3 linked regions of the Struthio camelus genome follow. The protein of the gene in region 1 interacts with the protein of each later gene in a pairwise test. Links are inferred from orthologs where the notes say so. Each region holds a gene or a part of one and is shown on either strand. Other genes may lie near its edges. The genes, in order: SSX2IP, TOP3B and MORN4.

Region 1 (3,744 bases):
AGCAGAAATAAGGGAGTCCCAGAGAGAAGAAATTAGAGTCTCAAAGAGACTGTGTGCTGGCACCTCTGCTCTCAACAAACTTAAAAAGGTGATGAGCAGTGAAGTGAGAAAGCTCACTTATGATACAGAGTTATTCAGAAAAATAAATACTAAGACTGAATGAAAAGAACTGCAGAAGGCTGTCCCCATCCTATGCAAACAGATGATAAAAATTGGCAGCTGAAATTCAGTGTTCATAAACACAAACTAATACATAATGAAAATACTGAAGTCAGCCATGTACTTAAAATAACAGGCTCTACATTAGGAATTATCACACAGGATGAGATCTCAGGGTCACTACGACTACTCCTCTGAAAGTAAAACTCACAGGCAGTCAACAGTACAGTGGAGCAGAGGACAGAAAAGAGAACACCATTATGTCACTCTATAAACATAAAGCTTCCCCAGTGTAAATAGCATATGCAGTTTTACATTTCCCTCTATAAAAGGAAGAGCAGAACTGAAAATGGTGCAAAGGTGGTAAAGCAATCCTCCCATGCAATGAGTTAATAAGCTGTGACTTTTCAGCTAGGAGAAGAAACAAATGGAGAAACAGCACAAAGGTACGAAAAACATGTACAGAGAGTAAGTATTTATTGCTTCTCTTAACACAACTATTCTGAATTAAATTAAACAATCAAGGTAAAATTTGGAAAATAAATGAGAGCATTATTCCCCTACAGAAAACATAAATTGTGGACTCACATCACCAAGAGATGTCGTGGATGCTAAAAACGTAACCTGGCTCCAAAAACAAAGAGACAAATTCGTGGAAAAATATTCATCAATAGCTATCAAGTTTAAAAGAGAGAGCGAGAGAGAGAGACAGAGCAAGAACAAACCTATGCTCAAAAATCCCTCAGCAGCAGACTGCAGTAAACTGGGAGGATACACTCATAAAATCACCACTGTACAACGAGCCTCTAATTTTATGCTCTTTCTCTTAGCATCTGCTGCCGGCCACTTTCAAGACAAGGTATTGAACCCAATTCTGGTATTGTCCTCTCTACAGTCCAAATGACAGCCAACTTTAATACTATGGGGTTTTTTTCCCCCAAAGCAGAAAATCACGCCTTTTCCCCCCAGCTACTTATCATCTGAAATTGCCATCAATGACATAAACTTACTTCTCTGTGCCTTTTTTCTAAACTTGCCATTAAAATTTACTTGATATGTTTAGATTTTATTTCACAATGCCTCTTTAAATTGTTCCCCTGAAATTCCTATCATACCATCATAGCATATGTGTGCCACATAACTACTATTTCATGACAGCACAGTAAACAGTGAAGTGCTCTATATAAATAGGCAATGCAGCAATACTATAAAGTGATCTTATATTACCACTTGATCTTCAAACTGAACTGGGTTTTGCTGCAGGGGGGAGAATCTTTATTTTTAAACCAAAATAAGGCCAAGGTAATGCAGCCAGAATCTCTTTTATGGATCCTCTCTTATTATATCACACCAAACTACCAGCTAAATCCAAACGCTGTCAGAAATTCACTGACTCAGTAGAAAGCTTTACGGCTCTCACCTCTTCGAGTGTTTGCTGCCTGCAGGCGCATAGAGATCAACAAAATGCTGGGCCTCGGGGAGGGAGGGCAGGGGGGTCAGGCGGCAAACTGCAGACGGACTAGCTAATCTAGCCCTCCCCGTCCCTGCGGATTAGCCCGAGCCTGACAAGAAGGGGCACATGTCAAGATCCACAACATCACAGCGCGGCGCAGCCCCTCCCCCCCGGCGCGCCGCGGGGGACGGAGCGTCCCGTGGGGAGCCCAGGCCGTGGCGACGCCGTTTCCCTCGGCAGCCCGGGGGGGGGGGGGGCACAGCCCCGCGCCGCACTCCGGCACCGGCCCCGGCCTCGGCCTGCCGGGGGCCCGCGCCCTCTCCTCCCCCCACCCCCCCGCGCGCGCCTCACCAACGTCCGCGGAGCGCCCGTTACTGCCGCGCCTCACAGGCAGGAGCGCCCTCCCCCCCCCCCCCCCCCCGCGGGCTCTCCGCAGGACCCTCCTGCCTCGCCGATGAGGAGTGCTACGCACTCACCCCGCGTAGCACCACCTGCTGCGGCCGCGGCGAGGAGGGAAGGAACGGGGGAGGTAGCCGGCCCCCGAGCGAGCGAGCGAGCGCCGCTCCACGCTCCACACCTAGCGCCGCTCCGGCCCCTCGCCGGGCCCCGCAGGGTTAACCCCCCCACCCCCGCCTCAGCGCCACTCCCATTGGCCGAGCAGTTGCTAGGAGACCTTCAACAAGAGCCTGCACCGCCCTGGCGGGCTGGGGCCGGGGCTGAGGCCGCGCCGACACCTGCTCCGCCCCCCCCCCCCCCCCAAACCGCGTTCGGCCCCACCCCGACCTCGACCGCAGCCGCGGGGCGGCGGGGCAGAGCCACGGCGGGAGGGCGCGGGGGGCCCCGCGTCGCCTGGGCCGCTCTCGGCACCTGTTGGCAGGCGCGTGGGTGCGAGGCGGAGACCGAGGGCGGAGGAGCGGGGGCGAGGGAGGGGAAAGGGCCGTTAGCCGGGCTGAGGGGAGCGCCGCGCGCGCCGAGCGTTGCCTGCTCGCCGCGCGTTGGGCCCGCGCTGCGGTCTCCTTTTCCCCCAGGAACGGTCACCAGTTTTGAAAAATCTATCCTAAGAGTTAACCCTTGTCCTCGACTGTAACAATATGGTGCTGCTTTTCTTTCCCACGTACTAGTCAGACTACTGAAGACTATTTGAGCAGCTGGACACAAAAACATAGGAAGCCTTTCGCTGTATCGTGCTGCTACTCCGCTAGTCTAAACTCAGGTTTCTGCAATAATACACTCCTGAAGAAGTTAGAAAACTTCATAGTTGATCCTGCCCATTGCTGGGCGCTGCCTGAAGCCACGGCATTCCCGACTCGAGCCATCGGCTCCCACCAGGAATTCCTGGCACTCGCCAAGAGCAAGGCGCGTCCAGGCCGGCGGGCCCGAGGTCGCGCCTGCGCCTCTGCCCTGCCTGCCGCGAGGGCGTCGAGCACCACCACAGCACGCGGCTCCTCCCTGCCCGCCGAGCAGCAGTGGCGATAACCCAGCATACCTCACCCAGTGTGTGGGAATTTTGGTAAAATTACCCAATAGAACTCGGTAAAATTAATTGAATAGTCATGCTATGTAAGATGCGATTACCCTCTTTACCTGCGTTTGCAAGACGACAGCCTTTACTGACTCAGTGACTTCCTCACTGATTTTTCCAGATACCTACCCCGTTCCTAACCAAGCACATTAAATCCTGCGAATCATGCATAGGTATGCCTGTAAGATTTAATTCTCGATTTTGTGTGTTGGTATAAGCTTGCTGATGTCTCATTTCACCTCACATCCCTTTGTTTTTACATTTTTGTACAGGAAGGTGTAATCAGTTTCTATTTTGCCCTGTATAACGTGACATTTTCACCCTCATTTCTTTCCAGGTTAATTAACAATAACTTTTTAAAATTACGACCTTAATTCTATTTTTATGACCTTAATTATGTTTTTGTTTTTAAAGATCAGGAGAACAGAACAGGTTCAAGTGAATAAAATAATATTTTTAATACAGCAAACGGTTTAATTTCTAGTGACTCCTGAGTCTCCAAAGAATAGCTCCATTCTCTGTAAACTTACCTTTATTGGTTCAATATTCTCTCTACATTTAGCTGTTATATCGGAGAACTCAGTGCAAATAATCACAAATATCTAAAAAA
Region 2 (3,744 bases), on another chromosome or scaffold:
GCACATAAAATGTACACGTTATAGTCTGTTCTACTGTTCATTACATATGGCCAGTTATGTCTCAGCCCTGCAAATAAATGTCTATCATGGAGCATCCTGTGTCATCTTGTAGTATCGGTGCATTTGTTCATTTCTGTATCTCTGAACTAACTGTTAGTAATATTACTTAGCAACTACATGACACCGTACCTCTCTAACGTACTGTGTAAACAACTCAAGAATTAGTCCTCATCAAACTTGTGAGGTAGTTAGCATGAGAGGAAATAGTCACATGGCTAGTCCAATATTTCAAAGCAAGTTAGTGACCAGAACCCTTGCACATGACCCTTACCATATCTCCACTTTACCAAAATACACTACGATGTATTAGACAGTCTCCCTTTAGACTCTGCATTCCTTAATTATCTTTCCTTCAAGAACACCAAAACATTTTTACAGGCTGGCACACTGAGCTTCATATCCCCTTATTTTCTGGTAACATCACTGAGGCACAGAAAAGATAAGCGTTCTGCCTAAGGTGATACAAGAAGTCAGCTACAGAACTAGAAAGAAAAATCAGAACTGCTGACCATTAGTGACCCTTTCATCCCCATTTCCGCTCTAATGCTAACTCTCTGAGTCATTTTCACAATCAGCATTTTCCCACTAGAAGTCCCAAGACAGTTTTGCAAGCCATATCAGTTAAAAAAGGTTATGAACAGACACACACCTATGAAATCCAAAGTCATCACGTGACCACACACAGATGTCATCTTGAAATGGGCGCTCTGTCCTACAAATGATCCAGCGTACTCATGCACAGAACACGCACCATTCAGTCCTTTGCGAGAGGACATGTTTCCTGTGAGAAGAACATAAATATCAACAGGCTAAAAAAAACTATTCAAAGAAAGAGGCATTACCTCTTCTGAAATCAGCTACCTCCCCCCTTTTTTCTAGATCTCACAGGTACGGTCTTCCTGATCACAGGCTTCCACTCTTCAACCAAGTTCTTCTCCAGCCAGTTATCACTTTGGGCCTTTCTTAGCATATTTCATTTCCAGTTGAAATTATCCAGGATCTCCTCTGTGTTTTTCTTCCCACCAGGAAATTCTTATGAAAAGACTTCTTCTTTTCTGGATCAGTACAACTATACTCATTCTGTTTTCCATGACTTATAAGATATTTCAAAAATCTCAGAACAACAACTTGCTACTTAACCGGCGCTTTCCAGAAACCGTACGCACTAATGCACACTGCCGCTACACTAAATAAAAGCAGGCTCATTTACCCTGGGATTGAACAGGTGTTAGCAGACAAAAAAAAAAACAAAACAAAACCAAACAAAACGTGGAATGCCATCCAGGTACTTTATGGACTGGAACCCGTCCTACCACAGTGCTCTCAGTGACAGCTGCTCCAAAGACAAGAAAGCAGCTGTCCAGGGGGTTTCCCACCTCATTTCACCACGGGGAAGCCTTTGCATCATGTCCCTACTCAACCTACACGCATTTCCTCAGTAAAGCCTGGGAGTCCTAGAGGACTTAGACCGGCCGGACGACAAGCAGTAGGGCCGAAACCAACACGCTCTCGTCCCTACCCCGCGAGAGGATCTTGGCGATGGACTGAGCCAGGGAAGGTTTCTCTGCAACCATCAGCACGGTCTTCATTTTCAGCCGAGGAGACGCGCCACAGAGCTCGACGGTGCGATCTGGGTTTGCTGGAGGCCGCAGCGCTCAGCTCAGGGACGAAAACCTGCTCTCACGGGGTTAATTCTCACTCTAGGGAGAGAAAGCACAGAACAGCGTGTACTACAAAACCACCTCTAGGGGAAAAAACCCTAGGAGCGCTGCCAAAACTCGGCGCAAGGGCAGATTTCGCAGCTCCTAACGGCCCCGCAGGGGGCAGGGGCCGCCCCGGGGCGACCGGCGGCGCCACCGCCCTGAGCAGCGGCCGGGGCCCGCGCGCCTCAAGGGGCCCCGCGGGGCAGCCGCCCCCGGGCCGCGCCGGCCCCGCTCCGCTTCCCGCCGCCGGGCGCGGCCGCCCCTCAGGGGCCGCGGGTTCGAGTCCCCCGCGGGGAGGCGGCGGCGGGAAGCGGCCCGGCCTCACCGAGGTGAAGTGCGGGGCGGCGACTCCGCCCCCCCCTCCCCCCCGCTCCGTCCCGGCCGCCGCCGCTCCCGTCCCCGCCGCGCCACAACCTCAGCGGGCGGCCATCGCCTCCGCTTGCACTGCCGGGTCACGGAGCCGGAAGGCGCGGAGGGGGAGGTGGCCGGCGCCGCCCCGGGGGGAAGCGGGAAAGGGCGGGCGCGGCGCTCCCCGCCCCCTCGGCGGGAACCGCGCGGCTCCCCCCGCCCCTTCCCCGGCGCCCCCTGGCGGCGCGAGGGGCGGGCTGGGTGGAAATGGGGGGTGTATGGGGTGTGAGGGGGTTACGAGGGGTGTGTGTAGGGGTAAATGGGGTGTGTATGGGGCTTTGGCGTGTGCGTGAGGGGGTACATGGGGTGTGGGGGCGGTGGGAGTGAGAAGGAGCGCGGAGGGCAGGGAGGAGCGTGTGTGAAGGGGTGGGGGGGTGTGAGGAGGGTGCGTGGGTGAGGGATGTGAAGGGGCTGTGGGGGTGTGTGAGGGGGGTTGAAGGGGGGTGTGTGTGAGAGGGTGCGAGGAGGGTGTGAAGGGGGTGGGACGGGAGGGCGCCTGTGAGGGGGTTGTGGGGGAGGGCTGCGGGCTTTGCCATAAATCGGCCCCGGTGCTGGCGGGGTCTCGGCGTCGCCGCGTTTGCGTTCGTGCCGCTGGCTTCGCCGGCGCCGGAGGGCCAGGCCTCACCTCCTTCAGGTCTCGCTGCGGTGGCAACCTGCCTCTTCCAGCAGCAGGAGGCTGCTGTGGCCACCACCTGGCCTGGCCGAAACGTCCCCGTCCCCAGCACGACGGTCCGCGTCGACGTTTCCTCTCCAAGTCCGGTCAGAATGGCCTCGGGCAAGCTACGTGGCTTTACCTGCGTCTCCCTGACCGAATGCGAGCAGCCCTGCCAGCCACCCCGGCCGTGCTGGTTAATAACTCTTAATGCGCCTCATCAGGAGCTAGAGCGCCAGGAGTAGTCGCAGCCTCGTCCTTCGTTGTCGTGCTTTTTGCACGGCATAAAAAACGCTTTACATGCTGCTGCAAAATGAGCGCGAGACAAAGTGTGGGATCTCCGTGAGGGAAATAGAGAGCTACAAAGGCTCTGCTCCTTGCTGTTGGCCTCACCTGAAAAACTGTAAATAATCAAACCTGGTTTGATAAATCAAATCCAGTCTATTTATGGGTGCCTTGCAACCACCTTTGCCACAGCAGCCCGTGCCTCTATCCTTGTTGTAAGCCCCTTGCAGGGGAATTGAATACAGCAGAGAAGATAGCTAGTATTTTGTCTCTCAAAACATTAATTTCAGTCATAATGAACGAAAATTACTGACTTCAAAAGGAGAGCGCCATACAGGAGAGCTCCTGGGCACCTCCGCCTCTGCCCAGGAGAGGGCAGGTATACACACGTGCGCGCACCTCCCATCCTTGATCCTCGTCCTGTCTTCTTGCACAAGTAAACTAGATTCCACTAACAGATTTAACAGGAATGTTTCTAAATGCTTTGGTGATCCTCACAATAAGCATGCGAATGCAATTCCCAATAGGAATAGGAAATGGATAAGCTCACAATAGGGAATTGATATTAGATATTTACTGGACACCAAAGCACCAGAAAAATTTACCACCGCTGTTTCCTTCTCCCAGTCCATGCAC
Region 3 (3,744 bases), on another chromosome or scaffold:
GGGTGATGCATGCACACCCCATGTGGGCCATGAACCCAGGGGTGATGCGTGCAAACCCCACGCGGGCCACGCACCCAGGGGTGATGCATGCACACCCCACGCAGGCCATGCACGCAGGGGTGATGCGTGCATACCCCAGGCGGACCATGCACCCAGGGGTGATGCTATGCTTGCAGACCCCAGGCAGGCAATGCACCCGGGGTGATGCATGCACACCCCACGCGGGCCATGCACCTAGGGGTGATGCGTGCACACCCCACGCGGGCTATGCACCCGGGGTGATGCATGCACACCCCACGTGGGCTATGCACCCGGGGTGTTGCTTGCAGATTCCAGGCAGGCAATGCATCCAGGGTGATGCATGCACACCCCACGCGGACCACGCACCCGGGATGATGCATGCACACCCCACGCAGGCCATGCACCCAGGGGTGATGCTTGCACACCCCAGGCGGGCTATGCACCCAGGGGTGATGCGTGCACACCCCACGCGGGCCATGCACCTACATCTAGGGGTGATGCATGCACACCTCACGCGGGCCATGCACGCAGGAGTGATGCGTGCACACCCCAGGCGGGCCGTGCCCCGGGGGCGATGCACGGATGCCCGGTGCCCACCACCACGGGCGGGGCGGGCACGCCGGGGCGGGCCGGGCGGCGCACGGCACCCGCCGCCAGCGCTCACCTGGCTCCGCGCTCGCCGCCCGCACCGCTCCCCACCGGGGTCCCGCCGAGGGGCGGTGGCACGGCCACCTCCCTGCCAGCCCCCCGCCCCGTCGGGCGGCGCAGCGCCGCCAGCATCCATCCCCGCAAGCCGTTGGCTGTATCCATGGCAACTGTTAGCAACGCGGCTCCTCATTGGCCAGCTTTCTAACGCCCCCTCTCCTCCGCCGCCATTTTTGTGAGGGGCAAGATCATCTCCTCCCCGGCGGTGCCACCGCTGAGGGGCGCCGCCCCCAACCCAAGACACCGCCATCTTTGTGAAGGGCAGCGGGGGGCGCCCCTTCAACTCCTGAGCGGCCATCTTTGTGTGGGGCAGGGGGCCGCCAAGGCAGTCTGTGTCGGCTCTCTTTTCTAAAGTGCTTTTCCCCTTCGCACCTGGATGAGAGGTGGTGGAAAAGCAGCAAATCACACATCCTCGGGGAGGCCGGTAGGAAGGACACAAGGCAGGCAAGCGCTGCAGTCAGCAGGTGAGCTCGCCCCCAGAAGAGCGTCCAATGCCGTGAGGCGTGCGGCCCCGGTGTCCGGCACAGCTGGGCAAGGGAGGATGGATCAAAGCTACCAGCAGCGCGGGAGAGAAGCTGTGCTGGGGGCGTGCGAGCTGCAGGGCCCTTGGCGTTACAAGCTGTTGAACGCACAAGGCCCGTCTTTGGTGCGAGGCCAGAAAAGCCTGCAGAAAGCACCAACATCTGACCTAGTACATACTGAAACAGAGATAAGCACTAGAGGAGATCGGCGGCCAGCAAGAGCCTGGTCTGAGCCTTGGCCCTCTGGCTCTGGGCCTCTGCCTCTGCAGAACTAGCTCCACCCGCCTCCTGGTACCCCTGGTCCTGTCGGAGCGAGCAAGGGAGCTCTAACAGGCCAGGCCTCCCCGCAAGCGCGCTGCGGCCCAGCGCTCCCCTAGGCACCCGCGTCTCCTGCGTGGGACGGGGCGGCGGCGGCAGCGGGGGCAGCCGCCATGGCGGGCCGGCGTCCCCATGGCAACGGCCGCGGCCCGCAGGGCAGGGGGCCGGGCCAATGGGGAGCGGGCGGGGCGGGACGCCGGGCGGGCGGGCCAATGGGGCGCGGCGGCGGTGACGCGGCGGAAGTGGCGGTCAGCTGACGGCGCGCGCCGCGCGGGCCCGGCGGGAGCCATGGACGAGACGAGCCCGCTGGTGTCGCCGGAGCGGGCGCAGGCCCCGGACTACGGGCTTCCCGGCGGCGCCGTGCGCGCCCCGCTGCCGCCGCCGCCACCCCCGCCCCCGCCCTCGCCGCCCGGCTCCCCCGGCGGCCGCGACCGCGAGCGGCAGCCGCTGCTGGAGCGCGGCGCGCGCGGCCCCGGCGCGGCGGCGGCGGCGCAGGCCCAGGCCCAGGCTCAGGCCCAGGCGGCGGCGGCGGCGGCGGCGGCGGCGGCGGCGGCTGCTCAGCGGGAGCGGAACGACTTCCCCGAGGACCCCGAGTTCGCCGAGGTGGTGCGGCGGGCTGAGCTGGCCAGCGAGCGCGGCATCTACCCCGAGCGCATCTCGCAGGGCTCCAGCGGCAGCTACTTCGTCAAGGACCCGCAGGGGGTGAGCCCGGCACCGGCGGGGCCCCGGGCCCTTCCCCGCGCCCCCGGGAGAGGCCCCCCGGGGCTGGCTGCCTGCCTGCCCTGCCGCCGGTGCAGCCTGGCAGAGGCCTCTGGTGAGGGTGCTGTGCCGGCCTGGCGGAGGGCCCGCCTCGGGCAGGGCTTGGCCGGTGCAAGGGCTGTGCTCACCCTCAGGCCGGGTCAGCTCGTGACATCGATCTGGGCTTCTGTGGATTGATAGGAGCAGCGTGGGGCTGTCCTGCCAGGAGCCCCGGGCGGCTTCCCTCGGTTGGGAACGCCGCAAGGCGTCGCACACGGAGAGCAGTGGAGCCGCAGGAAGGCTGCCCCCTCTTCCGCAGCCCGCTTCTTCCTGCCGATCAGCATCTGCTTACTGTGGTGACCTCAGCCTTAGGGCTGAGGCTTTGATGGCTGCACCATTCTCTGGTCTGTGAGACTGGAGTAAGAGTTCCCCTCTGTGGGCGTGTGGGAGATTGACTCAACACAAAGTCCTCAGCAGAGCTGACTCTCTTTAGATCTGCTTGGCAGCCATCTCCACACCACTGGCTAGTTGCGTGTGCAGCACAGCATGGCTTGCCTTGTGACCTGCAGCGCCCAACTCAAATACTCGAGCTGCTGCTGCTTCCTGTGACTCCCTTGCCAAGTGCCTGCTGGGGTGCTTCCCAGGAAGCAGGACTGGGCTCATGTGTCTTTGCTATGCTCTGGCTTTTCTGCCCTGGGTGGAGGCAGGGAGCTCTCACAGGCAGGTCTCAGCTGCGCTGTCTGTGGGGCAATACAGAGAGTGTGCAACTTCCTTTTGTGCCAGCCTTCTGTTGCCCAACAGGAGACATGGTGTTGTTGCTGGTGTGGGCAGCTGGACAAGCTGCCCTGAGGTTGTAGGGCAGTGGTTGCCTGGCTGTAGGGAGAGGATGCCAGGCCTCAGTGAGGACTGATGGAGGAAGTGTGCAAGGAGCCAAAGTCTGTGTGCTCCTGGCTGTATCCCAGGCCGGTCTCCCTGGCCTATCCTGCTGTGAATAAGGTGCATGTGTTGTTCCTGGGCTGTCCAGGGTCACTGAAACCTGCCTGCTGATGGTGTGGGAGGGAGTGCAGTGCTGTGATGGACAGGCTGGGGCAAGGGAAAGATTGAGGACATTGAGGAAAACCTTCTGAGATGGGGTCAGGTGCTTGCTTCCCTCTGGGAGGCTGAGGACCTGAGCTCTCCCAGCTAGGACCTTACATGATGTGCTTCCTTGCAGTCCTGGCAGTTGAGGTTACCCCAGCTGCTGGCTGGGCCTCCAGGCTGGCTTGGCTCCCCCTTCCCTGCTGCTGGTGCTGATCCATTTTCACTGCTCCACGGTGCTCTGAGCAAGCTACTTCCCAATCTGCCCCCAGCGCAGGTCTGAAAGGGAACACTGCTGCCAGGCCTCTCGTCCTTGCTCCAGGACTATTCCTGCCCTGCTGGACTTGCTCCCCAGGGCATGGTA

The links.
Region 2: the proteins of SSX2IP (region 1) and TOP3B interact in binary tests that used the Homo sapiens proteins (3 or more experiments, as listed by UniProt). The two-hybrid records come from large-scale screens. The link is inferred for Struthio camelus from reciprocal best matches to the Homo sapiens genes SSX2IP and TOP3B.
Region 3: the proteins of SSX2IP (region 1) and MORN4 interact in binary tests that used the Homo sapiens proteins (3 or more experiments, as listed by UniProt). The two-hybrid records come from large-scale screens. The link is inferred for Struthio camelus from reciprocal best matches to the Homo sapiens genes SSX2IP and MORN4.

The regions. Positions count from the first base shown.
Region 1 is NC_090949.1:21,546,805-21,550,548, reverse strand, and holds the start of SSX2IP (afadin- and alpha-actinin-binding protein), read right to left. Parts: upstream 2,252-3,744; 5' UTR 2,089-2,251; intron 2,027-2,088; exon of another isoform or gene 1,964-2,026; intron 1,722-1,963; 5' UTR 1,580-1,721; intron 1-1,579. UniProt on the Homo sapiens protein: Belongs to an adhesion system, which plays a role in the organization of homotypic, interneuronal and heterotypic cell-cell adherens junctions (AJs).
Region 2 is NC_090958.1:10,358,727-10,362,470, reverse strand, and holds the start of TOP3B (DNA topoisomerase 3-beta-1), read right to left. Parts: upstream 2,272-3,744; 5' UTR 2,178-2,271; intron 1,761-2,177; 5' UTR 1,650-1,760; coding exon 1,580-1,649; intron 842-1,579; coding exon 710-841; intron 1-709. UniProt on the Homo sapiens protein: Releases the supercoiling and torsional tension of DNA introduced during the DNA replication and transcription by transiently cleaving and rejoining one strand of the DNA duplex.
Region 3 is NC_090948.1:17,027,627-17,031,370, forward strand, and holds the start of MORN4 (MORN repeat-containing protein 4), read right to left. Parts: upstream 2,592-3,744; 5' UTR 2,453-2,591; intron 2,268-2,452; coding exon of another isoform or gene 1,854-2,267; exon of another isoform or gene 1,817-1,853; intron 760-1,816; exon of another isoform or gene 686-759; intron 1-685. Other genes in the region: PI4K2A (phosphatidylinositol 4-kinase type 2-alpha), read left to right, coding at 1,854-2,267. UniProt on the Homo sapiens protein: Plays a role in promoting axonal degeneration following neuronal injury by toxic insult or trauma.